4 linked regions of the Alligator mississippiensis genome follow. The protein of the gene in region 3 interacts with the protein of the main gene of each other region in a pairwise test. Links are inferred from orthologs where the notes say so. Each region holds a gene or a part of one and is shown on either strand. Other genes may lie near its edges.

Region 1 (7,849 bases), on a different chromosome or scaffold from region 3:
AAAAAGAATAAACTAGAACTTGGGAAGCACATAAAAGAAACAAAAAGCAAAACCTCCAACATGCACACAAAAAATCCAAGCAAAGACACAAGGAAATCCAATGACCAAACACCAAAGTTAAAGCTATTTAAAAAGTTTAAGTACACCAAGAACAAGAGTAATCTAATAATGGCCCATTATGATTAAAGTACTCATGCAAAAGGCAGATGTCATCCTGGGCTGCCTTTTACCTGACTTTAAACTAACATGGCTAACTACCTCTTTATTCATAATTAGACATGGTAGTGAAGTGAATGATAATGCAAAAACGTAAACTGGTATTAAATCAGATGATGAAACACTTTCCACTGCAGCAATTACTTTGGATGACAACAAACAGCAGCTACTGAAGTGAGACATTTGAAATTAATAGATACAGGTCACCAGGCAATGTGCACCCAAGTAAGATGTCCAAAGGACTCTGTGGGCCCCTAATGTTGTTTTCAATATGGCTTGAAACACTGAGGAATCATAGAGAAGCAGGGCCAGGAGGGACATCCAGAGGCCATCTAGTCCATCCCTACCCAAACCATCTCACACAATCCATAATCTAAACTCTACATAAGATTACTGTCAACCCCAATGCAACAACACAGATCTAACATCCTAACCTGCCACAGGTAAAGCAGGGGAACCATGGAAGCCAATGTCCTGTTTCTGTGAAATGCTGTCAACATATGCACAACAGATCCTGGGGTAGAGGGTCATGGCCCTGTTACAGAAGAAGGCAAAAAACCCTGTAGTCCATACCAATCTGACCATCAGGTAAAATTCCTTACTGACCCCAAATATGACAGTCAGTTAGACCATGAGCGGAGGGGCTAGACCTTCTAGCCTGGAACCTCGGGCTTGGTCCCAGCAGAACTGGCACACCCTAGGAAGCTCCAAGAGACATATACATACATACATACATAAAGATGATCAAGGCAATTTTAAACCTGCCAACCCGACATCAAACTCAAGTAAAATAAATAGAACAGCCAATACACAACCCAAATTACAAATGAGAATTAAAAAAGGACAACACTATCATTTTTTACCTGACAAGTTTGGCTAATAAATGCAAAAGTGCTGATGTAATACACCAGGGATTTGTCCACCCAAGAAAGGTATTGCAAAATAAGCTCCAGTGTGACTGTAAACTGCACTAGCTGTTCCATGCCACTGCCTGTGTAAACCCTTGTAAAACATGATAATCCTATTTGCAGTGTAACTAACTCTACTTTTGAAGATGATCAACTGGGTACCAGTGTCCACTTTCATGTAATGCAAGTGGCATACAGAAAGTTGGTGCAAAAGAGTGCTCATGCAGAAAAGCCTTTAGACTTCTATAAGATACTTGAGTTGGTACTACTAACATTTACTACAAAATAAAATTAAATCAAACACACATTACATTGACTAAAAAAATTGCTAGGTGCCAAAATGTAATCATAACTGAGAATTCTCAAGCAGATGCATTCCTGGTGGACTTGCTAAGCGATTTATTCTAGGCTATTTTCGACCAGTGATCTGAAAGAAAAAAAGTTACCAGAGGCAGAGTTTGTGGATGACAGAGATCAAAGGAGTGATAAATAATGAAGAAAACAGGACACCGATTCAGAACATTTTGGATCTTTTTATAAGCTGGATTCAGGCAAACAATCCACATTCTAACACTGCCACACTTAAGGTGACATCTAGAAAACCAGGATTTAGGATATACCTCAAGATAAGAGATTATATAAGAAAGCAGAGACTCTCAACAAGACTTAGGAATCACAGTGGGACAACCCCACGAATATGAACTCCTAGTACTAGAGGGGGTTACTATGATCACTTGGGATGTCTAGGCAAGGAGTACTGTGGAGAAGACAAATTAGATTACCTTTCCATTGAGCGCCAGTACTACAAGTCAGTAAGAATGTTGAAAGAGAGGACGTTTTGGGGAAAGCGTCAGAAAACATGCCTTATGACAATTAAGTGAAGGAACCCAATCTGTTCAGTTGAACAAACGGAAGTTTCAAGGTGCAACTGGTTAGGGTCTAGAAATACTTACGCATGGAAACCAGGAACTTGGTAACAGGGCTCTTCGCTCTAGCAGAGAGGCATCGCCAAGCCATGGAAGCTGAGCGGATTCATCTGAGAAATGCTGTGTCCCTCCCCCACACCTCCCTTTTTAAATGCAGCAACACCACCACAACCCCATTTATCTCGGAGAACCAGCCTGGGCTGCATTTCCCATAACTAGACACTGTCAAGGATAGCGACTGGCTATTTCTCTAGAGGTGCCTTAGTTCAGGCACCAACTTTGAGTGAATGGAGTGAATTCAGGGAGGTCCCAAATGCCCCATACTGGAGGAGACGAGAAGCGCACTGGGGCTCGGGGCCACACAACAAGAGCAAGCGGCCGAGCCCGAGCAGGGCACGAGGAGGCCGCCAAGGGCGCAGGGAAGCGTTTCCACTCCTCTCCTGAGGCAAGAGCGACCCGGCCCGACCCGCGGCAAGGAGGCGGTCGCCCGCTGCGGCCCGGAAAGTGCGGCGAAGCCCGTCGCGTCGCTGGGCCCGGGGCAGCCGAGGCCGAGCCCCCGTTTCCCCCTCAGCGCTGGCCCGGGGCCCGGCCGGCTGCTCCCGCCGACACAGGCGCAGCGACCACCCAAGGCAGCGCGAGGGGGATCTGCCGCCAGCCGGGCAGAGCGGGGGGGAGCGCCGCCCCCTCCCCCCCGCGGAGCGCGGGCGAAGCCGCAGAGCCGGGAGGAGGCGCCGCGCGGCTCCGGGCCCGGGCGGATCAGGCGTGAGGCCGGGTCCCCACACGCCGCGGCACCGCTGCCCTCACCCGTCGGAGGCGGCGCGCTTCTTGCTGGAACTGTAGTCGTCCCCCAGGTCTAGGCGGTGGCGCTTGGACATGGCGGCGGCTCCGCTCCTCAGGCGGCGGCGGCGGCGGCAGCAGCAGCAGCAGCAGCCGCGCCGCGAGGCCAGAAACAGCGACTAAAATGGCGGCCGGAAGGAAGCGCCCGGGCGGCGCGAGACACTGGAGCTGGCGGCGCGCGCGGGGGGGACGGTGCGCAGAGCTGGCGCCGGCCGGGAACTCGGCCCCGCCGCGCGGGTTCCGCCCGCCCCGCCACTCGCCGGGGCCGAGGGAGAGCGGGCGGGCCCGGAGCATGGCCCGGCTCCTTGAGGGCCGCCAGGACTGGGCCTCGGCTGCAGCTGCCCGCCCGTGCCCCAGAGGGAGGTGGGGGTCAAGCCGCATGGACGGCACGTGCAGCGCAGGCCCGACCTGCTTGTCCCTGGGCCGAGGCCTCTGCACTCTCCTAGGGCAGCCCGTGGAAGAGCCCAGGGAAGCGGGTGATGCTCCTCGGCTCCTAAGCAGGGTCTCAAAGGGGGCACGGAGCAGAGCCCGGCACCCCCAGGAGAACACGGGCCCTGCAACACACAGCAAAGCCCCGCAGGGCGCCTGGGCTCGGGTCCCAGGGCCCCACTGGGCAGGGCCCAGTCCCTGACTCCGCCCGTGTCCCTCCGAGCGGTGAGAAGGCGGTGTCGCTGCAAGCGTAGGTCACGCGGACTGCAAAGCGCCTAGGGAGCCAGGAAGGCCTGCAGAGCGCCCCCGGGCTAGGCACAGCCCTGACAGCGAAGCTGCGGGGTGTGCTGCACCAGACGGCACCCACCTCCCAGCTGTGGAGCATCTGTACTGAGAAAGACAGCTTTGCAGTGTAACTGGGGGCTTTGGGCTTTTGCCAGTGCAGCTGTGTTGGCAAAAGACTGTGCCTCCAAGCCACCAGGGCAAATCCTGTATTAGCATGGCCCAAGAGACAGACTAAAGCCACTGTTACGTTGGCATGACTCCCCATGGGGACGGTCATATTGCTGAATAAGGGGAGTTATGCCTGTCTGGAACTGATAAATAACACCCTATAGAGATATCTTTTCAAGAAGTTCTTCAGGCCTGGGATTGTCTTCCACTATGAACTAGGGGGGACTCAGGGGTCTTAAGCATAACTGTAATAGAAAATTATTTGTATTTGAAGATATCAAATTAAATAAAATACTGTAAGTAACACTGTCCCGGGGGGTGCTGGTCACTGCTCTGCTCGGCTCCCCCACTTGGAACACTTTTTACTAACCTATGGGCTTGAATTTAGACGCTCAAGATTCTGAGTTTCTATTAAGAGTTATTGTCTAGCAAACTTTCAAGCTTACAGACAACACTGGGATATCTATTTCTGGGGTCATTGGATCTTGGCTTTACGTGGATGTGACATAATTCTAAATTTTAACTAACCAACCAAAGGCCATATTAGCATTATTTATTACTTGCGCTGCATTAGTTACACTGTGGTAGTACATAAAGGTCCCTACTCCCTTGTATTTGTGTAGATTCCTAATAATAAGCATACCGCTTTAGCCCAAACAGTTTACAATCTGAAGTCTTCATCCTGAAATTCTTTAAACCATGAAGCCTTCAGAACCTTATCTGCCTGAAAACATTGAAGTAATTAAACACATGCAATTTTTCACAGGATCAGGCCTAAATACAAGACTTGAGACAGTAACCAGGCAGAAAGATAGGGAGGACCAGGTAACAATGAGACTATTGGTAAGATGCTACTACTGACCAGAAGCACAAATGATGCAGCAGATATGCCCAAAACTGAGCATATTCTATGCATCCTCATCTTCCAAAGGAAGCTGATAAAAAAAAAAAAAAATTAAAAATACTTTGACCTACATGCATCTATATATGCACACACTTTAAAATGACTTAAACTTCAGTTTTTCCATTTCACTTTATTCTCTCTTTTTTTTTTTTAAGAATAGAGTCATACCCAAAATAAAGCCATTTTTCATCCTAATCAAAGATTGATTAGTCAGCTTCATAACCCTTTCAATAAATTTCTAGCAAGTTTCAAATTAACACAAGGACAATGAAGTGCTATAGTGGGTTGTTTCCATGGCAAGAAAATGCTTAACCCAAACCAAAACTCTTTACATTTAAAACTATTAAAACGTTTATAACCATCAAAAAAGCCCTGAAAGTTTGGTTTAAACTGTTACTTCAGTTCTGAAATGCAGCTCTGGAGACTAAAGTTCCCACAATAAACCATCTGTAAGAGATTTGTATCAAGTTGATGTAGAACTGCAGGCTGAATCTGTGTGATTATATTACTTTAAGCACCCTGGCTCCCCTGGTATTGGATACAAATGTCTTATTGTTTATTTAAAATATGCTAATTTGCGAGAGTGAAGTCTAAGAAATAGATCCAAAGAAGGACCAAGATGCTTAAACCCAAAACAACCCCACTTGGTGGCTGCTTACCTTACTAGGCACCTCCCTATTTAATTGGAAAGTCCTGTAAGCGCTTAAAATTATGCCTCTGAGCATGGGCACAGATCCAATCTGAGCAAAACACCACTTACACTTGCCTTCCCCTGATCAGAATATAGGAGCTGGATGCCTACATGCCTGGAAGGTCCCAATCTGCTAGGCCATACTCAGAGCACAGGCAATGCATACCAAGCAAACCAACCTCCTTCACCAAATGCAGTTGAGTACTTTATTTTTAAAACATGGCATGAGAAGGAAAAAAATACCAACATTTTATATGATAGCATAGCAGAGCATTTACCCAGGAAGTAAAAGAGTAAGTTCAAATCTTTCTTCAGCCTGAGGGTGATCAGACTCACTTTTCCCATCTCCAAACAGATCACTTCAATGACCAGATATCAGCAGTAGGGTAACATGGGGCACTAGCCAAGGGCAGTGCCTAAAAGGAGTCAGGAGGGGGGAACACTGGAATGGAGCTGGGGGGTACAGTACTCATCATCCCCTCATATGCAGTTGCTCTGGTTCCAACAGCAAGGGGGCAGAGCAGCAGCAATGGGGTTGATAGGATATGGTACAAAGGCAGTAAGTAGCCAGCAGAAACAGGGTGCTGCAGGAGAGAAAGGGAAGCATCAGAGGTGGTTAACTTGCCCCTTTTGCCTCCCCCCCTCCCAGCAAACTTCTGGCTGCTGCCCTTCACCACATGGTACCATGGCCCAGGGTGTAGAACTAGCTAGTTATTTCTCTCTGTATCAGCTAGGCTGGGTGGAAACCTTCTCCACCTACCTTGTTGAAGCTGGGCCACCATGCAGAGGAATGAAATGTTTGGGAGGCCACTAAGAGATTGTCATTTGGAAATGCCTTGGGGTTTGTCTGTACTGTATCTGTAGCAGGCCTTAGGGAGGGCAGGACTGAGCACATCCAACCAACCACTCGGGTCTACAGAGATGCCCCAAAGCTTGTCTGTCCACAAAGCTGACATAATCAGAGCCTGCTCTTAAGCCTTCTGTCTCTAGCAGATCTAACACCTTGTACCGGGGACTAGCCCAGTGCAGCATCACTGGCAGACTTCCAGATCAGGAGCTGGTCATTGGACTCAGGTGGAGAATGAATATTCAACCATGTCTCCCACAAGACCTATTCCAGACCAGCCCTAGTCTTCCATTATACTGTATAGGGAACCAACATTCCTAACACTGGGTTCTGGATTCCATTCTATGCTCAGCACCTTAACAATCAGGGCTGCTATATGCAATTCCTTTCTTGGATCTAGCTCTAACTGAATAAGTGGACCCTACACAAAATCCCTACAGGATTGTCATATCAACAGAGGAAATTACTTTCAGAGGCAAGCACCTCTATCAAGAATATGACAACAAACCCACACGTTCAAATATATTAGCAAAAAAGCGAATCGACTGATGTCAACAAGTGCAGCGACGAGAGCAGCAGTTTCTTGTATGTATTTACAGCAACTAAATTGTCAAACTTTACCAATAAGAATACTTAACACTTTGAATTGTTCCAGGAAATAAATAGGAAACCAGCCTACTGTTTAAAGCAAAGATGTCATGTGCTCCCTACAGTCCGTTTTACCAAGCACTGCAGCTTGGGCACAACCGAAGGCTTGTGAGTCATCTTCAAAAGATAACTCCATATACTGTTCATCATTGCAATTTAACCTAGAGATCAGAAAGCCTGGATGATATTGTCAATGTTTTACATTTGGGGGGGGGGGGGGGGGCAGATAGCAATTGCTGTGGGAAAATTCAGTCCTTGCTATCAACACCACCCAGAACACCAGAAGCAAATACAGGTCAAGAAGGACTCCTCAGCAGCATACATCATGAGAATACATTTCTCAGTAATGGGGAAAGAAGCTATGTAACCAGCCAACTGATAGCACCTCTCTCTTAGGTAGATTACATTTCAAACATAGCCAGATCCATCTCAGTCAAGCTCTTGGGTTCACTAGATACTATGCAGGCCTGACAAGGAGCAGCAGAAAAAGTTACAATAGTTGACCACAAAGCTCTAGTCTAACCTCCTCTTCTTGCAAGCTGTGAAGCAAGTACCTTCTAATTTGTGCACAAGAAAACTCCAAAAGTGGTTAAGTTTATTAGCAAGAAAAGTCAAAACTGTATTTTAAAAAGAAAGTATTTTCACTTTCTGAAGAGCAATTCAACAATACAACCATACAGGGCAGACTTTGCCATTGATTCCATTATACTAGAAACTAAGCATGAACTCCTGCTTCCAAATTTTGGCAGCAACTTGCCCAATATCTTTAAATCTCTTTACCTGGAAAAAAGGGCTTACTCCCACCTACCTCTCAAAGACCTTGTAAAAATAAGTATTTGTCAAGTACTTTGAGAGCCTTAGATATAAAATACCACATAAGTGAAAAGTATTATCACTATAAAACCACCCTACTAAATTTACATGTTGTCCTGTGAACTTTTATAGGAATTTATGGGTAGAATCAGGCTTGCTTAATGCCATCTTAAGGTA
Region 2 (7,116 bases), on a different chromosome or scaffold from region 3:
GGCTCTGGGGATGGGGCAGGCTTGGTGAGGCAATCCCATGCATCTTGCATTCTTTCCCCCCCGCAGATAAATGTCCTGTACAACCGCATCAGCCACGCTCAGAAATTGTGAGTAGTTGCAATGTAGCTGTTTCCTCTCTATGGGAGAGTATAGAATCATAGAAAATGAGGGTTGGAAAGGACCTCAGTAGGTCATCTAGTCCAACCCCCTACTCAAAGCAGGACCGTCCCCAACTAGATCATCCCAGTGAAGGCTTTGTCTAGCCAGGTCTTAAAAAACTCCAAGGATGGAGAGTCCACAACCTCTCTGGGTAATCTGTTTCAGTGCTTTACTACCCTCCTAGTGGGAAAGTTCTTCCTAATATCTAACCTAAACTTCTCTTGCTGCAACTTGAGCCCATTGCTCCTTTTTCTGTCATCTGCTACCACTGAGAACAGTCCAGCTCCATCCTCTTTTGAACCCCCTTCAGGTAGATGAAAGCTACTATTAAATCCCCACTCAGTCTTCTCTTCTCCAGACTAAATAAACCCAGTTCCCTCAACCTCTCCTCATATACATGAATTCCCTCAGCCCCCTCACCATTTTTGTTGCCCTCCACTGGACTCTCTCCAATTTGTCCACATGCTTTCTGTAGTGGGGGCCACAAAACTGGACACAGTACTCCGGATGTGGCCTCAGCAGTGCTGAACAGAGGGGAAGAATCGCTTCTCTTGATCTCTTGGCTGCACTTCTCCTAATGCAGCCCAGTATGCTCACAACAAGGACACACTGTTGTGTGTGGGACCACCCAGGCCAGAGACCAACCACCTCCTCCATCCCCCAACCCTTTTTCCCCATGAGGGAAGGAGGAGATGGGCTGATACTGAGATGAGCTTGGTGAGGCCAGAGGGTTTTGACACCAAAACTGGCTTGCTCTGGGGAAGATGCTGAGATCAGCTGGGCCCAGGGTTGGGTTGGGGCAATGGTATGTTTGGGGGACAGGAATCTGGGGGCCTTGAGGTCTGTTCTAACCCTCCCCTTTCTCTCCATAGCAAAAAGGTGCCTGGCAAGGGCCGTTTCGGAGGCCGCTGGAAATAAACGCCAGGCCCTCAGGCAGATCGCCCCTGCCACCCTTCCCTCCTGCATCCACCCTCCTGTATCCAACCAGATGATCCCCACCTTGACTTCCACCCATCCTGGTTCCTGCTGGCATGGAGATTCTGCCCTGTGTGATCTGGAAAATCAGGAAACTGGTGTGAGCTGTGTCCTGTGTCCAACTACCTGGGCCATGTAATAAAACATATCCCTTGCCCTTGGCTCATGGATGGAGCCTCGATCTGGTTTGTGGAGCAAGGGAGGGAATTGTGTATGCATATTGAGAGGGGGAGGGGTGTGTGTGGCTTTACACAGAGCCCCCCCTAGGCAGATGGGCCCCTGACACTTAACTGTCTTCTAGATCACCCCCCCCCCCCAAATAATTCCCCTCCAAACCTCCCCTCTACCACAGGCATGGCTCCCCTGCTGTCCATCACACACACTTCTGCCCCCACACAGATTTAAGCTGCTTCCAGCTGCCTACCTCCAATTGCTCCCCTCCTCCCACCACACAGCAGGGCCTGTCCCCCTAAAATAAGCCCTACCCACTTGGGAGCTGACTGCAACTTGGTGGCAGATCTCTAGGCTTCAACAACAGGGTGGGAGGGATCAGGTGGGCTCCACTGCCACCCTTCCCTTAATACATGGAAGTCTGATGCTCTGTTAGGCAGTTCCTAGGATCACCAGTTGGAGGGTTGAAGGAAACAAAGGCTTGTGCTGTCCCCAGGGATTCAATAACTGCCACCAAAAGGCAGTGTCAGAGTAAAGGCAGCTCTTCACAGGTCAGCCTCACATGCCCTCTCTAGCCCACCAGGGCACTGGCACCGCAGTAACATACAGAGGGATCAGGACTTTGAATAAGCCCCTTGTTCAGATACACAGGGCTTGGCCCAGCTCGTTCAGCAATGGGCCCAGACTCCCTGTAGACTCAGGCAGGCACTGCATGTCCATCAGTCCCAGGGAGTGGGAGAGGAGTTTTGCTTTGTTTCCCATGAATGCTAAGATCTGGGGGCCAAGGCTGCTGGCAGTAGGAGATGCTGGAAGGTGACAGGGGAGAATACAGGCTATTGCCAGTGGGACAGGGACGGTGCACTAGGAATCAGCCTAAAGCAATGTGGAGCCACAAAGCTGCAGCCTACTAAGGTGCCCAAGGATGGGAGGTTTCCTAGACTCAGACTCCAGCTCAGGGGAGGCTAATTATTTCAGGCGGAGGGCTGCTTACTGAGTTTTGGAAAGCCATTGAGGGCCACATGACAGGCAGCCAGGGGCAGATAAATATTAATTTTCTAAATTTTTTAGGGGCCCTGCAGGCCAGACAGAATGGCCTGGTAAGCTGCATGTGGCCTGCAGGCTGCATTTTGCTCACCTCTGAGCCAGCTGGACTCTATTTCCCATGATAATTCTGGGGTGGGGGACTCCATTCTCATGATGCAGCAGGCCAGCACACACCATTCCCCAGGTTGCTTCTGGGTTGGGGGCTCTGCTCCCATGATACAATGGGACATCAGAGTGAGGGGGAGTGGCAGTGGGCAGGGCTCTGCTACCCTAAGGCCCCATGGCCAAATTGCCTGGGGACTCCATTTCCAGCATGCTTTGCAGAGGCCAGGGGCAGCTGGTGGGTGGGGGGAGAGGCAAACTCCATTTTCCAAGATGCCCCATGGGCAGGGTGAGAGAATCCATAAGTGCCATGCGTCTGCTGTGCACCCTCTCCTGTGATGCCCCAACAGGTGTGGGGTAAAGGGATTCCATTTCCCATAATGCCCCACAGCAGTGGGCAAGAAGGGACTCCCTTTCCCATGGTGTACTGCTGTGACTCACACCCGCTCAGTCTCTCATGATGCTCTGGGCAAGTCCCACCACACCCTGCAGTGGATGGATGAGGGGGGAGGGACTGTTTCGTACATTGCACGAGTGACTCCCCACGCCAATGATGCTCGGTACCTAGGCAAGGGACTCAATTTCCCAAGATACACTGCGTCACACCCCATCTCCCCCTGCCTCAGCATTACAGGGATAGGGAGGAGGGGGAAACTGCACTGCCCATGATGCCCTGCAGCAGGTGGGAAGAGACGAGAAAGGAAGAGAAGGGGACTCCCTTTCCCATGATGCACTGCGAAGGAGGAATTCATAACTATGGTTACCATATTTCCAGGTCCAAACATAGGGCAACTGGGGAGGGGGGTCTGATTGCTGGGGGGCGGGGGGCAATCCTCCCATCCCCCCGGGCTCTACCAATGCCCCTCCCTCCCGACTCACAGCCCCTGTCGCCCCCGTCCTGACCGCGCCGGAGCGCTGCAGCTGCGGCCGCTCCAATTCTTGCGGGCGGTACGAGGGAGGGGACGCCTGTGACATGGCAGCCCGGGCTCGGGCTCCCGAGCGGCGCGGCCCCCCCTGAGCAGCATCTCCCGGCTGCCCCGCCACGCTAACCCTAACCCCAACCCCCTGCCCTGCCGCGCCCCCCCACCGTTTCCTCCTTGACAGAGCAAAAACCCTCGTTTTTCCGCGGCGAACGGGAAACGCGGCTCCGCGGAGGGCCCTGGGAAATGCAGTCCCATCGGCAGAGCCCAGACCTCTGCTCCCAGAACCTGAACACAGTCCTGCCCCCCGGGCGGGGCGCTCTGGAGGGACCCCTCCTGCTGCTCCTGGCGCTTCTTCCTTCCCCAGCCTCAACCCCCACACCACGCCCAGCAACTACTCCACCTCCTCCCCAGAGCTGGCCCTCCCCACGGGGATCCCATTCTCACACCACTAGTGGCTCACATCTCCTCTCCCAGCATGCCCCGCGACGGCGGCTTTGTGCAATAGGGGACAAGGACTCCTGTCCCCATGACGCACTCCTTCCTCCCCGGCTCTTCTAGCATGCCCGGGCAGGGACTCACTTTCCCGTGACGCCCCGTGCCTCCCGGCATGCCCCACGGCTGCTTTTCCCGGCCTGCCCCGCGCCGGGGGCGGGCCCGCTCGTTTCCATGGCGCCCCGCCCCCCGCTTCCGGCGCCCCCGCTGGCTGCCGAGGCAGGAAGCCGGGCGGGGGCCGGGGGGCGATGGCGGCCGAGGCGGCAGCCGCGGCCCAGGCCCGGCGGCGCGAGCAGCTGCGGCAGTGGGAGGCGGCGGCGCCGGCCGGCCCCCCGCGCCCGCCCCGCGCCCGCGCCGTCCGCTTCGAGCGCGCCGCCGAGTTCCTGGCCGCCTGCGCCGCGGGGGAGCTGGCCGAGGCGGCCGCCATGCTACGGGGGGGGGCCGAGCCCCAGCCCGACGGCCCCGGGCCCGGGCTCATCGACGGCACCAACGCCGACGGCATCAGCGCCCTGCACCAGGTGCGCGGGCGGGGGGCAGTGGGATTGCTGCCTCCCAGGGAGAGGAACGCCTAGGGAGGGTGGTGGGGTCGTTGCTGGAGGGCAGGGGCAGGTCCTAGGGGCTGGAGTAAGTAGGGTTGGAGATGGGAGCATTGGAGGCAGTGAATGGGTGGGGGACTGTGGGATTTCTGCCCTGCAGGGAGAGGAAGGCCTGGGGAGGGGGGCCATTGCTGGGGGTGGGGGCAGTTCCTAGAGGAGCTGGGGGCAGGGGGGATGCTGGAGGCAGGGGGTGGGGGCAAGCTGGTGGTGGTGTGAGTAGTGGGATCCCCATGGTGAGGGCCAGCTCTGGGGAGGGGGTGGAGTAGTTGCTGAGTGGGGTGTGGTGGTTGAGGCTGGGGAAGGAAGAAGGGCCAGGAGCAGCAGGAGGGGGAGGAGGTCGTTGCTTTGGGGGTTGGGGTCATTGCTGGTGGGTAGGGTGGGAGGAGGGGGTAGTTACTAGAGGATCTGGGGACACTGGGGTGGGAGAAGCTGATGGTGTGAGCAGTGGGATCTTCCTGGTGAGGTCAAGCCATGTGGGGGTCATTGCTGGGAGGTTAGGAAGAGGACACAGTTACTAGGTGAGCGTGGGAGAGTGGGGGTAGGAGGAGGGGTCCTTGGGGTCAGGGTAAGGGGTGTTGGAGGCAGGAGGGGGTGGAAGTAACTGGCGGTGTCAGCACTAGGATTTTCTCTGTGAAATCAAGGCCTGGGGAGGGCAGTGGGGTAGCTGCCTGGGGGAGGAGGAGGAAGGTGCTAGGGGAGGAAGAAGGAGCTGTTGGGGCAGAAGGGTGATCGGGGGGGGGGCAGTACTGGGGCTAGGAGGAAGAGGCCATTGCTGGGGGTTGAAGGAAGGCCCCTTGGGGTAGGAAGAGGTTACAGTTATTAGGGGAGCTGAGAGCAGTTGGGGTAGGAAGAGGGGGTAGTGTGGGGGCAAAGTGGCTGCTGCTGTTAGCAGTGGGATCCCCTCTGGTGAGCTCAAGCTATGGGAAGGTGGGTGGGGTAGTTGCTGGGGGGAGTCCTTGGGGTTGGGGGTAGCATGGGGGAACAAGTGTTTGGTGCTTTTAGAAGTGGGATCCCCTCTGGTGAGCTCAGGCCCTGGAGAGGGGATTGGGATAGCTGCTGGGGAGGGAGGAGGTGAGGGGCAACAGAGGGAGGAGGAACGGGCAGTTTTGGGTGGGGGGGGTGGTAGGAAAAGAAGGGTTTGGGGGGAGCTGAGGGCTAGAGGGACAGTACTGGGGTATAGGAGGAGGAGGGGTGGTTGCAGAAGGGGTCCTTGAGGTTGTTGGGGGTGGGGAGCAAGTGACTGCTGTTGTGAATGGTGGCACCCCACTGCCAAGCTCAAGCCCTGAGGGGAGGGGGATGAGTAGTTGTAGGGAGCTGTTGGGGCAGGGAGTGAGGAGGAAGGGGTAGCCAGTTGAGGGGTGGGAAGCATAGGAGGAGGGAGTTGTTGGGGTCAGGGGTGTTGGGGCAGTGGGAGGGAACACCTGACTGCTGCTCCTTGGCAAGCGGAAGCCCTGGTTGTCTCTTGTCCTCTAATCCCTCCAGTTCGGGGGGTGCCAATTGTATCTAGGCAGAGGGGAACCTTGGGGGAGGGGTGGAGGGTAGAAAGAGCCCCCATGGGAAGGGTGCATCTGGGAAGCAAGGGGGTAGGGCTTGGCAGGGGCTTGTCATGCTGGTAGGGTCAGGAGCAAGGGGGTGAAGAGGCTAAGGTTAGGCAGTTGGGGACCAGAGGCAGGGATGGGGAGTGCCAGATGCTGGAGGGGAAGTATCCTCAGGAGCTGGGGGGGCGTGGAGCAGGAGTGGGGCACTTGGAAGGAGGGGTAGTTACAGAAGAGGGTGTGTGCTGTGGGTGGTGGGGTGGGAATAAGGAAGGGGAACTGGGTGCCAGGGGCAGGTGCAGATGGAGGGTGGGCAAGGAGGGCTGAGGGGGGTAACTAAGTGGCAGCAGATCTGGGGAGGGAGTCCTGGCGCTGAGGCTTCTGGCAAAGGAAACAGTATGGTGGGGGCAGGGAGGAGGGAAAGGCCTCCAGCTCAGACAGTGCTGCTACATCAAGGCAGCTGGAGCCATTATGCTCTGTATGGGCATGCCCAGCCCTGCACCCTGCCAAGGGGCATCAGCTCCCCCAGGGTCCGTGCTGCTCAATTCCCCACATCGCTAGGGCAGCCTTTGTTTCTGTTTGCCAGAGTCCACCCAGGTGGGACTGGGGGATCAGAGCAGCAGGGGTGGAAACCAGCCAGCAGGTCTGCCTACTGAGAGGATCAGGATGCCTGGGTTCAAAGCCCAGCTCTGAAAGCAGAGAGGAGTCCAGAGTCAGGGTAGGCAGCTCATGGAACTGGATGCATTCCTCTTCCAGAGCGGGGATAGAACCCAGGTGTCCTGGCTGCCAGCCTCCCCCATGCAAGGGAAATTTGTTGGAAACCAGAACCCATCAGTTACATGCCTAGCATGGCCTGTTAGGGGCAGCTTGTGGCAGGGACTTTCTTCTCTTCTGGGCACTGACCCCAGTCTGACCTCAGGGCTGGGGGCAGGCTTACTCAGGGGGTTAGGGAGTGGGACAGCTCCTCTTGTGTCAAGCAGTGGAGGGGGGGAGTGCCAGCGTCAGCTGGCTCCAGCTCAGTCCCGTCTCATGCTCATTTGCTGCTGCATAATGAGGTGGTCAGGTCTTGGTCTGTGGTGGGTGGGTGTGAGGGAGGGAAGTTGTCCCTGTCTTGTACCT
Region 3 (7,993 bases):
CGTCTGAAAGTTAAGGATATGCCGCAGAAATATGTCAGAACCACTGAGGACATATATTGCAAATGTACAACGAAAGTGAGGAGCAGTTTGAGAGAGACAGAGTTTTGAGGTGAAGATGGGCATTCATCAAGGGTCAGCTTTGAGTCCGTTCCTATTTGCGGTCACGATGGATGTGTTTACTGAACAAATAAGAAGGAGACCTCCGTGGAACATGATGTTTGTGGACAACATGGTCATTTGCGCCAAGAGTTTAGAGGAAATGCAAGCTGGTTTGGACCAATGGAAAGAAGTACAAGAGGGAAGAGGAATGAAGATGAGTTGATCCAAAACGGAATACATTTACTGTGATTTCTCTGAGATACCTGATGTTGCAAATGTGATAATCGATGAGAAACATGTTCGAAAAGTTAACAAGTTCAAGTATGTGAGGTCAACCGGTCAGCAGGGTTAGATGAAGAGTTGAACCACTGAGTAACAGCAGGGTGGACAAACTGGAAATTGGTGACAAGACTATTATGTGACAGGAGATTATCAGTGGAGCTGAAGAGGAAAGTCTACAAGACGTCCATGTGCCCAGTACTATTGTACGGAGTGAAGACAGCCCATGAAGAAAACACAAGAAAGGCGACTAAATGTGACAGAGGTGAGACTGCGCAGACGGATGGGTGGAGTGACGGAGATGGATAAAGTGAAGAATTCTTACATCAGAGGATTGGTGAAGGTAGCGGAGGCATCTAAGAAAGTACAAGAGAGAAGACTGGCATGGTACGGGTATGTTCAAAGGAGTCCAGAAGAATACGTAGGAATAAAGTTATCAGAATGGTGCTACCAGGGAGAAGGGGAAGAGGAAGGCCAAAGATGAGATAGAGAGAGATACTGCAGAAGAACGTGAGAGGAGTTGGAAGAAGAAAATAAGTATGACCGAAGTCAGTGGAGAGCCAGGATCTGCAAAAGCAACCTGTTTAGACAGGACAAGCAAGGGAAGAAGATAGATATAGACAAATATATATACAACTATTTTAAAGCTGGCTCCTCCTATTACTAATCAGAACTTCCTACATCTGCCGGCCTGGTGGACAAGCTTATATTCCACCCTGATCCCACGACCCTCCAGGGGACCTCAGCTACTGGCTCCTCCACAGAGCGATTGCTATGGGCATGTATCTGGTGCAGTTTATGGATGCCCCCAGCTCCTGCCCCTTCTGCGATCAGAGGGAGACCCTGGTACGTGCCTGCCTGAAGAGTGCCAGGCTGCAGCGCCCTCTAGGACTTCCTGCTGAGGCTCTGGCTGCACTACTCCTGCATCGTTTCACTTATGCTCTCCCTATCCACAGCCCCATTAAGTCCCGGGACCCTCATGGTCAACCTCCCCCTGCCCTTAGCCAAATTAGCGATCTATCTGATCAGGAAGGAGGATCTGGGTGGGAGACCCCCCAGGGACCATGCAGCCGGTTTCCTGTCCCTCGTCTATTCACATCTCCGGGCAGAGTTTCACTGGTCCACTCACCACTGGCTCCTTGGACTCATTCGAGGCACTGTCCCACGTCCCCCTCAGTGCACTCGTTTTTAACCTACAACCTTCACTCCCATCCCTGCTTTGCTTTTTGTCCCATGTCATCAACTGACATGTATCCAATAGCCCCCTCTATTAGCAAGGGGCACTAACTGTTGCTTTGTGGGCCTAAGGCCCATGTCCACAAAACGTGTCAAATAGGCCTGTCCAGGAAAGAGGCTCCAGCTGGGGGTCTCAACAGGGACTCTGGGGCCATCCTCCTGTCCCTTATCTAATCACGTCTGCGGGCATTTTCACCAGATGGCATCTACTGACTCCTTACACATGTTCGAGGGCCGGTGGGCGCTGGCTGATGAGCTCTGCTCGGGGTCCCCCATCCTTGGTGCTCTCGTTATCCAACTCTGACCCCCGCTCCTGTCCCCGCTCTCATTATAAGTTGTCCCAAGGAATCAGTGGATGCATACCGAGGGGCCGCCGGCCCTCCAACGAGTCCAAGGGGCTAGCGGATGCTGCCCGATGAAACTCTGCCTGCAGACGCGAGTTGAACCAGGACAGCAAAGGAGCCCGGCAGTCCCCGACGGCTTCCCTGGCTGGAGCCTCCTTCCTGGTCAAACAGACGTCCCGCTTGGCTAGGGCCAGGAGGAGGCTGACCAGGAGGTCCTGCGGCTCGGCGGGGCTGCAGACGGGGAGCGCATAACCGAAAAGGTGCAGGCCCTGTTTCTTCTGGGCATCCCTGCAGAGGGACCCAGCACGGCCACATGACACCGGTCCTGGTAGCTCTTCCTGCCTCTCCTCTCCTCTCGCAGCCTCCAGCCAGCCGCTTCTTCCCTGCTTGCAACCAGCTCGTCTCCACGGTCCCCCCAACCCTGCGCTGCCCCCGCCCAATGCAGGCCTGGCGACAATGCCCTCCCCCCCCCCCCCCCCACACACACACACACACACACAGCACAACCCCCTACAGCCGCGCCCCCACAATGGGACACCCTCCCCCCCTGGAACCCCCCTTCCCCCCCATGGAACCCCCCCACGGGACGCCCCTCCCCCCCATGGAACCCCCCACGCAGGACGCCCCTCCCCCCTATGGAACCCCCCCCACGGGACGCCCCTCCCCCCCATGGAACCCCCCACGCAGGACGCTCCTCCCCCCCATGGAACCCTCCACGGGACGCCCCTCCCCCCATGGGACCCCCTCCTCCACAATGGGGGCGCCCCTCCCCCCTTCTCTGGCCCCGCCCCCGCCGTGAGAGCCCCTCCCCCACGTTTAACCCGGGCGGACACCCCGTCCCGCCGCGCACAACCCGACCCCACTGCTTCCCCCCTTCCCAGCCCGGCGCGGGAAGCCCCGGCCTGGTGCGGCCTAAAGCCTCGGCCTCGATTAGCGACGCGGGCCGGGCCCAGGACACTCACTCGCCGCCGCCATGAACGAAGCGCCGCGAGCCCCGCGCCTGCGCAGTCGCCCGCCCGCCCCTACGTAAACGGCGCAGCGCACGGCGGGAAGGGGCGTGGCTGAGGGGAGCTACGCAAACTGCGTCCGACTTGGTGGCAGGGCAGAGCGGTGTTGGAGCAAGCTGCGCAAGTAGCGGGAGAGTTACGCCGCAAGGCTGGGCCTCGTAAAGCAGGAGCTGTGCAAACTTCGTAGGCGAGAAGAGGAGGGGCGGAAATGTCGTTACATCACCATAGAGAGCGCGGCTCCGGGAGAGAGAGTATCCGCAGAGGGGTGGCGTCTGCCCCCTAGTGGCAGGGAGGGGGTACTGCGCGCTGCGCCCCAGGGGAGCCCTGTAGGGTGGACACAGCCATAGGCTGGTGGGAATGATGAAATCAGGGGTTAATTACAATTAGAATGTTAATGGCCGTTAGAATGTTAATTTGCATTCTAATTGCAATTGGAAAACCCTTTGCACACTAAAGGTAGGGCTCACTTCCCCCAGCCCTCCCTGGGTGACACCCACATGCCTGGGTTTCAGGCTTGGGAGCATTTTGGTCCTGAACTGGTCCCCAACGAAAACTGGCTGCAGGGCCCTCCTTGCAGGTGTCAGAGCCCTTCTCTACAAGAACAAGTGCAAAGTCCTGCACTTAGGACAGAGCAGTCCCACGCACCAGTGCAGGCTGGGGTTGATGGGCTGGGCAGCAGCTCTGCAGAAAGGACCTGGGGGTGACTGGACAACGAGCTGAATATGAGCCAGCAGCGTGCCCTTGTTGCCAAGAAAGCTAACAGCATCCCGGGCTGCATTGGTAGAAGTGATGCCAGCAGGTCAAGGGAAGTGATTCTTCCCCTCTATGCAGCACTGGGGAGGCCACATCTGGAGTACTAGGTCCAGTTTTGGGCCCCCCCACTACAGAAAGGATGTGGACAAATTGGAGAGAGTCCAGTAGAGGACAACAAAATGGTTAGGGGGCTTGCGAGGAAAGGCTGAGAGAGCTGGGTTTATTTAGTTTGCAGAATAGAAGACGGAGAGGTGATTTAATAGCATCCTTCGATTACCTGCAGGGAGGCTGCAAAAAGGATGGAGCTGGACTGTAGTGGCAGATGACAGAACAAGGAGCAACGGGCTCAATTTGCAGCAAGGGAAGTTGAGGTTAGAAAGTCTTTCCTCATATCTCCCTGGAAGGGCAGTAAAGCACTGGAACAGGCTTTCCAGAGAGGTGGTGGGATCTCTGTCCTAGGAGGTTTTTAAGACCTGGCTAGACAGAGCTTTGGCTGGGATGATGTAGTTGGGGCTGGTCCTGCTCTGAGCAGGCGGTTGGACTAGATGTGACCTCCTGAGGTCCCTTCAACCCTCATGTTCTGTGATTCTTTGATTCTGTATTTCCCCCTGCTCCCCGTAGGAAGCAAGACTAGCATTGGGACGGGACTGAAGGTAATGCACATTCAAATCTCTGAAAAGGTGGATTTGCAAAGCTGAGGTAGAGAGCCCTCTACCATCTCAGCCCCTGGGTTGTAACATCCCCTGTTCTTTACATGGAGCCAAACCCACCAGGCATTGGGAACAGAGCGGGGCTGCCCCCTGTGAACGAGTGAGCCCCACTGATGCTCACAGGCACCATTCCCTCACCTGCACCGCAGGGCAGGCACCCTGCCTTTCCCAGCGCCAATTCATAGTTGCAACTAGCTTGGCACCTTTGGCAGTATCATGTTAATGCAAGAGTGGATATCTCTGTGCCCCCTGAGTCACCAGTTCCTCTGTACTTTGTGCACCCACCCCAAGGAGACAGAGGAAAAGCCAGCCTGTGATTGTGCCCGTTGCATGTGTGTAATCATGTCACCCCCTCTGCGGACATCGCAGCCCTTCTCCCTGCTCTCAGCAGGAAGCAGGGATTGCATTGGGAAGGGGCTAAAGGTAAAAAAGGAGAAGATGCATCGCTCAGGTACCTGCCAGCCATGCTTGTATAGGGGAAGGTATCTGGAAGCCACCCCTCTGGGGAAAGGAGAAGCAACCTGCAGGCGGGGGGGGGAGCAGGGTCCTAGCTAATCACAAACATAAATAATAAACCAAAATAATGAATGGAGGACAAGAGAAAGAAAGAAAACCAAGCGTTACGATTTTCCATGAGCATGTTAGTGCCAAACAAGAGCCCTGGGTTTTTGCTCATTTCTTTTGTTCATAGAACAAGATGCAACAACACCTCTTCTAGCCAACTCCCCGCTGCTAGTTCTCAAGAAAAAGCAGGAGCACTGTGCATATAGAGCAGGGAAGGGCACAATGCAGCCCATGGGCCAGATGCAGCCCACCAGGCCATTCTCTCCGGCCCGCGGAGCCCCTAAAAATTTAGAAAATTAATATTTACCTGCCCCTGGCTGTCTGTCATGCGGCCCTCGATGGCTTCCCAAAACTCAGTAAGCGGCCCTCCCCCCAAAATAATTGCCCACCCCTGATATAGAGTCTTCCATCTAATCCCATCTCTCTATTTCACATGACATTTTAGGATTGCAATGTTCATACAACATTCATAGTTTAATATCTAAATTTGATAGCCATTTGACTGTTTCAGGGGTAGCTGCACGGATTGATTTTAGATCGCCATTAAATGATCGAAGAGGGCAATCATTCACAATGTGTCACACCGTCTGAAAACTCACACCACAGTCTCAATCCAGTGATTCTTATCCAGGGTACCGCGAGAGTCTTTCAAGGGTGCCCCTAGGTGCCATGCGGTTTTAGTACTGTTAGCATACAAACATAATTCACAAGATAAGCTCAGAAATTTCAAATAGGGATCCATTGTTTTGAAAACACTCAGATCTGCTGTGGTCTTTTTGAGTTCTTTGCAATAGAAAAATACTGAAAGCAGCTTTTCTGTAGTCAAAAACTAGCGAAAACTAAGAGCTGGCATTTTCCGAGGGGTGCCTTGAGTCTAACAAGGGGTGCTTTGAGTCTAAAAAGGTTGAAAACCATTGATCCAATCCATTCACTAATAAACTGATTGTTCAGTTCAACTCTTTAAAAAAGACCTGAAACCAAACAGCCTAACTTTTTGCCCCAGAGCACAGTACTGTAGTTGTGCACACTCCATGTTTATCCCTTGTTTGAGTGATACCAATGCTCTCTCTGCCTATCTATCTAGTCTTTGGGTATGCAACAGCTCTTTTATTAATGTGTTCGTACAGAATTTAGCACTATGAGGTCCTGCCCCAGGACTGGGGCTCCCAGGGGCTACCCCTATTCAAAGCATCAGTATGGAAATATAACAGGAATATAATGTTACAGCATCTGAAAAGTCCCCAGCCAGATATTATACAAAAGCTGCAGTTTTCAGACAAAATTCTCACTTTAATTCTCATTCCCGATTCTCATTCCCGATCTCCCATCGGGAATTTTGCTGCATTTAGAGTCTCTTAACTTTTTTTTACCCCTCCTCCCACCAAATCTGAGCTGTTAAAAATATTTAGGGACTGCTGAAATCTGAGAGGATTTCTCCTAATATTTTGCCTGCTGTATATGTAAAAGCGGGCATCCCACAGAAGGGAGAATCGTTCTCCCTTCTCTCTTCGGGCCCCACATGTTGTGGTGCTTTGCAACCGTTTTGTAAGACCTGCTGAGACAAGAAGGGAACTCTTACTGCTGTTTGCACAGTATGGAATTGAAAGCATAAACCGGCATTTGCTTGAACATCTGAAGCAGTTTAAAAAAAAAACCAAAAACGTGTTGCCTTTTACAGAAGATCATGTGGCTCAATGAAACTTTGAGAACTGGGGAAGGCTCGGCCAATATTCAAAGCAGGGAAGAGGTGAAATAGAGAAACAAACTGGCTGCCTGCCTGATCTGATATTGTCTTCATGGGTCTGGGGTGGGGGGGTTATCTCAATATCCTCCATAGTTGCTCTGCTGTTGTGTTTCAATTTTTTTCCCCCCACTCAAACCTTGAAAACTGATGAATGGTCAGGGTTGGGGGGAAGTACACAGCCCTTGTTGGCTACTACAAAACAAAGCAAATCTCCTACCCACCAAGTATGTGACGTGGGTACTTTCATAGACATTAGATTTCATAGACATTCGGGCTGGAAGGGATCTCGGAAGATCTCCGAGTCCAGCCCCCAGGATTATACCCAAAGACTAGATATGGGTATGTCAGCCTCAGGAGCAGGAGGGATATCAGAGGCTCCATCATCACCTGCAACACTCACGTTGCTTTAAAATGTCTCCTTACCCCCAGAAGGCTCCAGGAGCAGATGCAGGATGTTGAAAAAGGGGCACAGGAGCAGCACCCCCTACTCCCAGCCTCCTCCCCACCAATACCAGTGAGACCAGACCGTGCCATGAGATCGGCAATTAGGGACCATTTTAAGTCCCCCAAAACAGTTAAGCATTCCCCCCCACCATACTCTTTGCTCAGAGCATGTCCCTTGCCACACCTGCCACTGCTGCTGTATATGCAATCCTGGGGGTGAAGGGAGCTCCTGTCTCCCTCCAGCTGGGCTGCATGGGGTCTGGGCTCAGCCTGGGACAGTGGTGGCAGTGGGAAGTTTCCCCTCCTTGCATCTGCTCCCAGACTGGTGGGGAACACCCAGGGGAACCAGGCAGGGAGAGGGAGCCCACCTGCCACCACCACTATTACTTTCCCAGACTGAACCCAAGTCCAGCATGGCCCAACTGGAGCTGGGTCGGAGCTCTCCTCACCCCCAGGACAGCAAGGACAGGGGCAGCAGCAGGCAGGGGAGGGGGAAATGGGAGGGGAGGGTACAACCTCAGCTTGGAGGGGAAAGGAGGGGGCAATTCTGATCTTCAGGACTTAAAGAAGTCCCCAACTGCTGCTCCTGCCCCATGGTCAGAAAGTGGGGGTGGGGGTGCAGCCCCTCTGGATCTGCCCGAGAAGGCTCCAATAACTCAGTGCATTGCATCATAAAAAAGTACAGCTCCAATGGACCCCAGGAGGTCATCTAGTTTAATCCCGTGCTCAAGGCAGGATCATCCCTATATAAAGCATCATAGGCAAGTATTTGTCCAGCTATTTGCTTTTAAAACCTTTGTGAACAATCCCCAT
Region 4 (7,615 bases), on a different chromosome or scaffold from region 3:
CGTTCAATTACCTACTGATTCATCCATACCCGCATTCACTCAGGGGACCAGCCCAATACAGCAATACAATTCCAGTTATTACAATTCCAGTGCATTCTTATAATAATAATTTTAGTAATACAAGGTATGACTTACTCTAAAGAATACATTTGTTAAAAGTTAAAAGGTAGAAAATATAAAATACAAAATGCCAGGGCAAAGATGAGACATGAAATATAAAAATGTACTGTGAGAAATATAGAAAAATGCAAGATGAGGTAGCGAGGATCAACGGCCACTGGGGTTAGATGCACTCATGCAGACTGATTTAGCATAAAACTTTAGACAGATATGGGAAGTTTGCTTTGGGAAATAGGTCTTAATCAAAGGAAAAATGTGTTTACCAGGATATATTTACAGTCATGCTTTCAGTGCACCTTGGCTTTTCTTGTCTCTTACAGGCTTTGCTTTGAAGTGGATATTTTAGTTCTTTTGTTTTCTTTAGTGACACAGCTCAACTGATACATAGATGTAGTCTGTAGGTTTCTCCTACAGAAAGCCACTTCAGCTTTCTGGCTTGCTCGGAGCCTTGCCACACCCATGCAATGAATGTGCTAGGTCTCTGCCAATACTTAGAAGGAAAAAGAAATGCACAAAAAGGGAAAGAGGGTGCAGGCAAGAAGGGGCTTCTGTTATATCAATGCCCAGAAGGGTAGTGTACAAAGGGGGCTCCCTGTTACAAGGCTTTTAATTTACTATCTGCAATTTTGCTGTCGTCTTATTTTCCAATCATAGAAAATATACCTGTTAATAATTTTACACAATTTGATATTTTAATAATAATTATCTATGGAAATGCCATTTGTTAACAGTTGACTTTTACTGGAGGTAGAGGAAAATCTTCATTTAATCCATATAAATGGAGGGAAAGGGCAAAAGTAATGCATGTGTATTAATTTGGGGTTGGAGAGGGACTGAGAAAGGAGGAGAATGGAGCAGAGAATACATTTGAAAGTCAATCTGAAAGGTTCTTTCAGGTCAGAAACATAGCAGCTTTTTTCTGGTTACAAGGTCACATGGGGATGATGCAAGTAACAGTCTCCAAAATGTAGTGGTAGAGAACCTATGGCAGTAGCTTCCAAAGGTTGCCTACCCTCTATACTGTTGACGTCAGTCTTCTCAAAATCTTGTCATCCTTGAACTTTGTCTGACTGCCCTCATCCATAATACAATGTTAACACCCATCACAGGCCATACCATAATTAACAATAAATCCTTTGGCATAACGGTCCTGGCAATACATTACAGGCTTCCCACCTCTGCCTTCAGGAAGGGGCACTACTTTTGGCTCACATTTAATTTTATCCTTACATATTAGAACACAGTATATCAAGAAAACACCTAATGATGATGATGATGTAAGTGTAACCATCTCTATTGACTTAAATAGGACTTAAAAATGTGATTCAGTTTTTTACTGAGCTGGGGTTTATATCATGAAGAGCAGTTAGTAACCGTCTAAACCCGTGGCTCCTCCTGCTGCAGCGGCTGGGGCCTTCGATGCCTGTATGGGGCGTTTGAACCTCGGCAGGCCCCGGCTGAGGAGGGGGGGAGCTTGTTGCTTCTCCCCCTGCCACACACACATCATGTTGGGGGTGCGGGATGTGTACGGGCTGCCTGGGGTCAGCCAGGCCCCGTGGAAGGGCTCCTGGAGATGAGGAGCTTCCTCTTCTAGCCGCAGATCTCGCCATGTCTTGGCTTGGCTGAGTGCTCGGTTTCTGCAGAGCCTTGTAGGGCCTCATTTAAAGATCTCTTTTTTTCCCCCCCAAACTTGTCGATTATGTGGCTGCAGCTCTCACCAGCACTGGGCTGGAAACTGCTCCTCGGTTTTGTGCTGCATTGTCACTCTGCTGTCTGTGATGGTTCTTTTCCCAGGGAAGCCTAACTTAAATGTTCTTTATTTCCATGAGAGAGAGAGAGACTGTTGTGGAGCCGCAAGGATTAGACCTAATTCTGTATGGAGGTGGCTGGGCAGTACCTCTCCCCATCTTCCAGATCTTCCAGGCTTATAGCTTATACCCAAAGGGTATGTGGCCAAGCAGGGGGTACAGGAGACTCGCCCTTGCTGGGTTATGCCTGCTTTCCCTGCCCCATCCAAGGAAAACACTTAAAAGGTAGCAGTGCTGCAGAAGTGGTCTGCCCAGCTCCCCTCGCAGCCTGGGGCCATGGGAGGAATGCGACGTGGGCACCTGTGGGGGCTTTCTATACCCAAAGGGTAATTAGCCTCCAGTGCAATGTGGAGTAGTAATCTGATATGTTGTCACTAGCACACCTCCTTCAGATGTTGGGCTATGTTCTTCATAAGGTGAAGATTTTTAGCAGCCTTTTTAGTCAACCCCAGAAAGATCCCCAGAGCAGTTATTTAAACTAGAGGTAATAAAGGCATTCATGCAATGTCTCTCCCTCACCTTCTTTGTTTATTCTGGGACTCTCTCATTTCCCTTTTGCTCAGTCCTCTCCTTTCTGTTTATTCTATCCTTTACAATCATCTCAATTTGCTTCCATTTTTCCTCCTACTTTTTGAACCCATATGGTCTTTTTTACCCACTCATGGCACCACCTACCTGATTTTCTTTCCACACTTTCCTATAGATTTCTCTCCTAAATCTCTTGTTGCATCTGGCTTTCAAAAAAGTACTTCCAGAATTCTCATGTCATGTTCCAGCCTCAGCTCAGTGTCCTACATCCATTCTGACAGCATTCTGACTCACTGGGGATCTCACCTCACAGTGCTATACGTATTATAGGCAGAAAGAGCTGCTAAGTGCCAGTTTCAGGAAACAGTACCCCGTCTCAAAGCAATTATGTCAAGCTAGTTTGGGGACCCACATGGAAACCAGCTCCCAGCACTGGAAACTAAATCAGGAAGGAATCTATCAGTTGGTAAAAGTCCTACAGTATAACTTACTGCCTTTCTTTAGTTTGTAACACCACTACCAGCACCAGAAGCCTATACTCCTGGGGCCTGATCCTCTAGTCTTGTATGCTAGTACCAAAATTATAGCATTACTCCTCCAATATATAAGTATATAAATATATAAAGCCTCATATCTGGGGACCCACAGTGATTCTAATGTATGATGTAGCCTGTGCTGAAAGGCCAACCAATAGATTCAGCAACTATTCAGATCCACTGGTCAGTATCTAATGTGTCCAGGGAGCATCCTGAGAGCTGCCACTGTAGATCATAGTTCTGCTGGGACTGTATTATTACTCTGTGGTCTACAATGATGTTTCAGTTCCTTGCAGTGATTTATACAAAGTTATTTTATTTGCAAGGTGCTTAGATTTGGTCCTTACTTGATGTAGTATATGGCATAAGTGTCACAAGGTGGAGATCTCAGTGGGGAAGCAGTCTCATATTACTGTCTATAGAGTCTTATACTGTCTATACTGTCTCATAATTCTTTGTTTGGGTGACAAAGAAAAAAATTGCCATCAATAATCCATCAGTATAGGATTCCTTTTGCCTCTGGTGCCAAATCAGCACCACAGCTGACTTTCCCTTCTAGGAGGCATGTTTTTGCCATAGAGGAACATCAGAATACTGATCTGGTAGCAGAGCTGTGGCCTCTCTGGATTTAACCCTCATGTAATTCTATAGCAAAAGAACTGTTCCAGAGCAGAACACTCTTAAATTAAGATTCAGCCTGGAGGTTTTATAAAGAAATTAAAAAGCTTTGAAATGAGACAGGCCAGGACTATAAAACAAAGCTGGAGCTAAGAATGGGAACAAGGCAGCTACGACAGCCTGACCTGCCTAGCTCTGTTGATGAAGCATTACAAAAAAACCCCATGGTTGAGATCTGACAGACTGCTTAAAAAAAAAAAATCCTTAAATTGCAGACCTGGGCATGTTGCCCAGGATCCCTGGCTTGGGATCCCTCATGGTTTGGGAGCAGAGATGCCCACAGAGCAGCTCAAAGGCCCCCCAGGTGCCCACGTCACATTCCTCCCGTGGCCCCGGGCTGGGAGGGGAGCTGGGCAGGCCGCTTCTGCAGCACTGCTGCCTTTTAAGTGTTTTCCTTGGATGTGACAGTCGCACCTGCTGTGGTAAACTAGATGTATGGTGCAGGGAAAGCAGGTGCTTAACCCCAGCCCTGGGGGGCAAGTCTCCTGTACCCGCTGCTGGGCCACATCTCTTGAGCCCTGGACCCTGCCAGCTGGGGGGGGAGGTGGGGAAACACGGGGACTCCCTCATGCACAGTGCCAGATGAACCCTTTTGCAGTCCCTGGGCAAACAAACTCATGGACCCTACTTAATACGGTATATGTATATTATTTATTTATATTATATTTATACTGTATAAATGTTTTTTTCCCACTCAATAATTATAATATGTAAAATGATCACAACTGGGCCGCTTCTTAGGGCCCTAGGCATGTGCCTAGTTTGCCTATGCGTTACCGCGGGGCTGCGAAAGGAGCAGCGCCCTACAGAACCGCAGAGCCTGCGGCCGCCGGGCGTGACAGGGCCGCAGCGCCGGCCCCGCCTCCCCGATCGCTAGCTCGGTCATCGGCTCGCCGCCCCTCCCCCCAGGCGGGAGGCTTCCTCGCTCTCCTCTTCAATCGGTGAAGTCGGCGCTCGATTCCGGCCGCCAGGGCTGGCCGAGGGAGAGAGCCAAGATGGCGGACAGGGCGCCAGGCGGTTCGCAGAAAGGCAGCGGGAAGGTGAGGCCGCCCTCAGGGGCGCGCACGCGGCACCGTCGCTCGGGGCCCGCGGCAGGGGGTGGGCCGGGCCGGGCCGGGCCGTGGTAGTGGCAAGTGCCGGCCGGAGCAAGCATGGCGCGGGGAGGCGGGTGCGCAGGCTGCGCGGCCTGCTCTGGCCCCCTTCCCCGGCCCTGCTGCTGCCGGGCGCGCCGGGGCCTACTGGAGGCCGGTGCCCGCGGCTCTTCCCGCTGCAGCGGCTGGGGCCTTCGATGCCCGTGTGGGGCGTTTGAACCTCGGCAGGCCCCGGCTGAGGAGGGGGGGGAGCTTGTCGCTTCTCCCCCCGCCACTCACGCGTCGTGCTGGGAGCGCGCGGCGCGCACGGGCTGCCCGGGGTTGGCCGGGCCCTGTGGAAGGGCTCTTGGAGACGAGGAGCCTCCTCTTCTAGCCGCAGATCTCGCCATGCCTTGGCTTGGCTGAGTGCTCGGTCTCTGCAGAGCCTTGTAGGGCTTCATTTAAAGATCTCTTCCCCCCCAAACTCGTCAATTATGTGTCTGCAGCTCTGGCCAGCACTGGGCTGGAAACTGCTCCTCGGTTTTGTGCTGCATTGTCACTCTGCTCTCTGTGATGGTTCTTTTCCCAGGGAAGCCTAACTTAAATGTTCTTTATTTCCATGAGAGAGAGAGACTGTTGTGGAGCCGCAAGGATTAGACCTAGTTCTGTATGGAGGTGGCTGGGCAGTACCTCTCCCCATCTTCCAGATCTTCCAGTCTTATGGTTCCAGGGGTCGTTTTTTTCCCTGGCTCCTTCAGTTAGCCCGAGTTGTACAGCAGTGTCTGCACAGATCCTGTTCCCCTGTGGTGCTCTGTTACATCTGCAGGGTTGATGCTGCAGCCTTTTCAGCTACAGCTCTAGGAATGCTTGGAGTTGATATTTTTGTGGTAGAAAGAACCACTATCTTATTGTAAATATTATGTCTTCAGCACTGCAAACACTTATGCAGGTTCTTAACTTGATTCATATATGGAGCCCCATTTCCCATTTTGGAAATATTTATACCTGCCTAGGGATAATTTTGTGACTGAGAGCTTTAAACCAGTAGTTACTTGAGATGAATATTCCTAATTTGGTTTCCTTTTTATACCTGGCTGAAGGCAAGCCTCAATTGTGCTGTATGTATGAGATTAGATAAGGATGATCAAGAGCATAGAGAAGTTTTGTTTTTTTTAATAAGCAAAGATTAAATGTGCTTGCACTTTTCAGCGTAGACAAAAGATGACTGAGTGGATATGATAAAGGTTCATAAAATAAAATGAGTGGCATGAAGGAAGTAAATAAGGATATATTCATGAGTGGATTGGGTGGGGGAAGGAGTACAGTCACATCCCCATTTGATTCCTGATCCACTGAAAGTTTAAAACAAACTGCCTGGTAGGGACAGCTGAATTTCTATTCAGGTAGAGTGAGAGAGTCTATAGATTTCATAGCTTATTATTATCTACTTGATTTCTGCCAATCTTTAGTCCCTTGACCCATTTAGTATCCACAGTGTACGGCAGGGGTGGGAAAATGTGGCCCACCTGGCCATTCTATCTGGACCGAGGGGGCCCCTGAAAAAATTAGAAAATTAATATTTATCTGCCCCTGGCTGCCTGTCATACAGCCCTTGGTGGTTTGCCAATACTCAGTAAGCGGCCGTCCGCCTGAAATAATTGCCCACTCCCTGGTGTAGGGTATACTGTATTCATAGGAGCAGTGAGGGGATTGAGTAGCATAGGCCTCTGTGGGGCATGAGGGGGGATTGTGGGATCTGATGGTTTTGGGGTTTGATAGGATGGGGCTGAATATGGAAATATGTGGGATAATGGGGGACAGAGTAGAGGCAGGGGGAATTTGAGGTGGCAGGTGGAGCATATAAAGGGCAGTGTGGGACACTTTGGGGCCATGGTGGAGTGTCTGGGGGACTTGTGTAGGAGTACAGGGAGGAGTTCCATTTGATCAGAGTGTAACAGGTATACCTACTACCCAGCACCAGATGCCTGCCCAATTTGGATCTGGTAGTCAGCCCCTCAGTGATTCAGTTGCATTTGTTTTTACTTGGAAATTGGAAAAAAATATATGCTGTTTTATGGGATGATGTACCATATCACTTGCACTCTCCCTGCCCCCCCCCCCCCCCTTCAAAATCTGAGATCCACCCACGGATGTATTATTTATAGAGGTGCACCAATACATCGATCCCGTATTGGATCAGCACTGATATAAAGAAAATTGAGTGTATCGGAAATTGGCCTGATGAGGCCAATAATTTGGCTGATAAATGCCCATACATGCATGTAGCCACAGCGCAGCCTGGCAGCATGGAGAGCTGTGTGCAGCTGTTAAGTCTGTTGTGGTGCAAGGGGAGGGGAGGGAAGGGGCATAGGGGTGCAGATCAGTGGCCCCTGCAGTGAGGGAGGGAGTGGGGCTGGGGCAAGTGCTGCAGTGTGGGTGTGGGACGGAGCTGCGGCTCGTCCGGGGCTTGAGTGGGGGGGGGTGGCTCCTGTCATTGCGTGCACCCCAGGAGGGTGGGGGGGAGTGCGTGCCCCCAGATCTGCATGGGGTGTGGGTGGGTTGGGCTGCAGCTGCAGGCTGGGGCCAGGACTGCACTGGGTTCTTCCCTTTGAGGAGGGGTGGGGGTTGGACCAGGGTTGTGCTTGGGGTGGGTGGTGGTGGCACTGGGAGGGTGCTGTGGTGAATTTTGGGAGGGATACAGCCCCCGCATAATGCTCTTCCCAGCGCTGCTGCTGCTTCCTGCCCCAAATGCAGCCCTGGCCCCAGCCTGAAGCTGCAGCCCACCCCGCCTGTGCAGATCTGAGGGCACATGCCCCTCCTGTCCACTCCCAGGGTGTGCACAGCGGTGGGAGCCACTCCTCTCTGCGCCGTCCGG

Evidence for each region.
Region 1: the proteins of RBM17 (region 3) and DHX15 interact in binary tests that used the Homo sapiens proteins (3 or more experiments, as listed by UniProt). The link is inferred for Alligator mississippiensis from reciprocal best matches to the Homo sapiens genes RBM17 and DHX15.
Region 2: the proteins of RBM17 (region 3) and PPP1R12C interact in binary tests that used the Homo sapiens proteins (3 or more experiments, as listed by UniProt). The two-hybrid records come from large-scale screens. The link is inferred for Alligator mississippiensis from reciprocal best matches to the Homo sapiens genes RBM17 and PPP1R12C.
Region 4: the proteins of RBM17 (region 3) and U2SURP interact in binary tests that used the Homo sapiens proteins (3 or more experiments, as listed by UniProt). The link is inferred for Alligator mississippiensis from reciprocal best matches to the Homo sapiens genes RBM17 and U2SURP.

Annotation. Positions count from the first base shown.
Region 1 is NC_081825.1:39,040,078-39,047,926, forward strand, and holds the start of DHX15 (ATP-dependent RNA helicase DHX15), read right to left. Parts: upstream 3,004-7,849; 5' UTR 2,926-3,003; coding exon 2,855-2,925; intron 1-2,854.
Region 2 is NC_081828.1:39,232,956-39,240,071, reverse strand, and holds the start of PPP1R12C (protein phosphatase 1 regulatory subunit 12C), read left to right. Parts: upstream 1-4,099; 5' UTR 4,100-4,114; coding exon 4,115-4,384; intron 4,385-7,116. Other genes in the region: TNNT1 (troponin T, slow skeletal muscle), read left to right, coding at 67-107, 1,032-1,077. UniProt on the Homo sapiens protein: Regulates myosin phosphatase activity.
Region 3 is NC_081827.1:9,433,975-9,441,967, reverse strand, and holds the start of RBM17 (splicing factor 45), read right to left. Parts: upstream 3,004-7,993; 5' UTR 2,921-3,003; intron 2,212-2,920; exon of another isoform or gene 1,978-2,211; intron 1-1,977. UniProt on the Homo sapiens protein: Splice factor that binds to the single-stranded 3'AG at the exon/intron border and promotes its utilization in the second catalytic step. Involved in the regulation of alternative splicing and the utilization of cryptic splice sites.
Region 4 is NC_081830.1:56,731,734-56,739,348, forward strand, and holds the start of U2SURP (U2 snRNP-associated SURP motif-containing protein), read left to right. Parts: upstream 1-4,613; 5' UTR 4,614-4,665; coding exon 4,666-4,710; intron 4,711-7,615.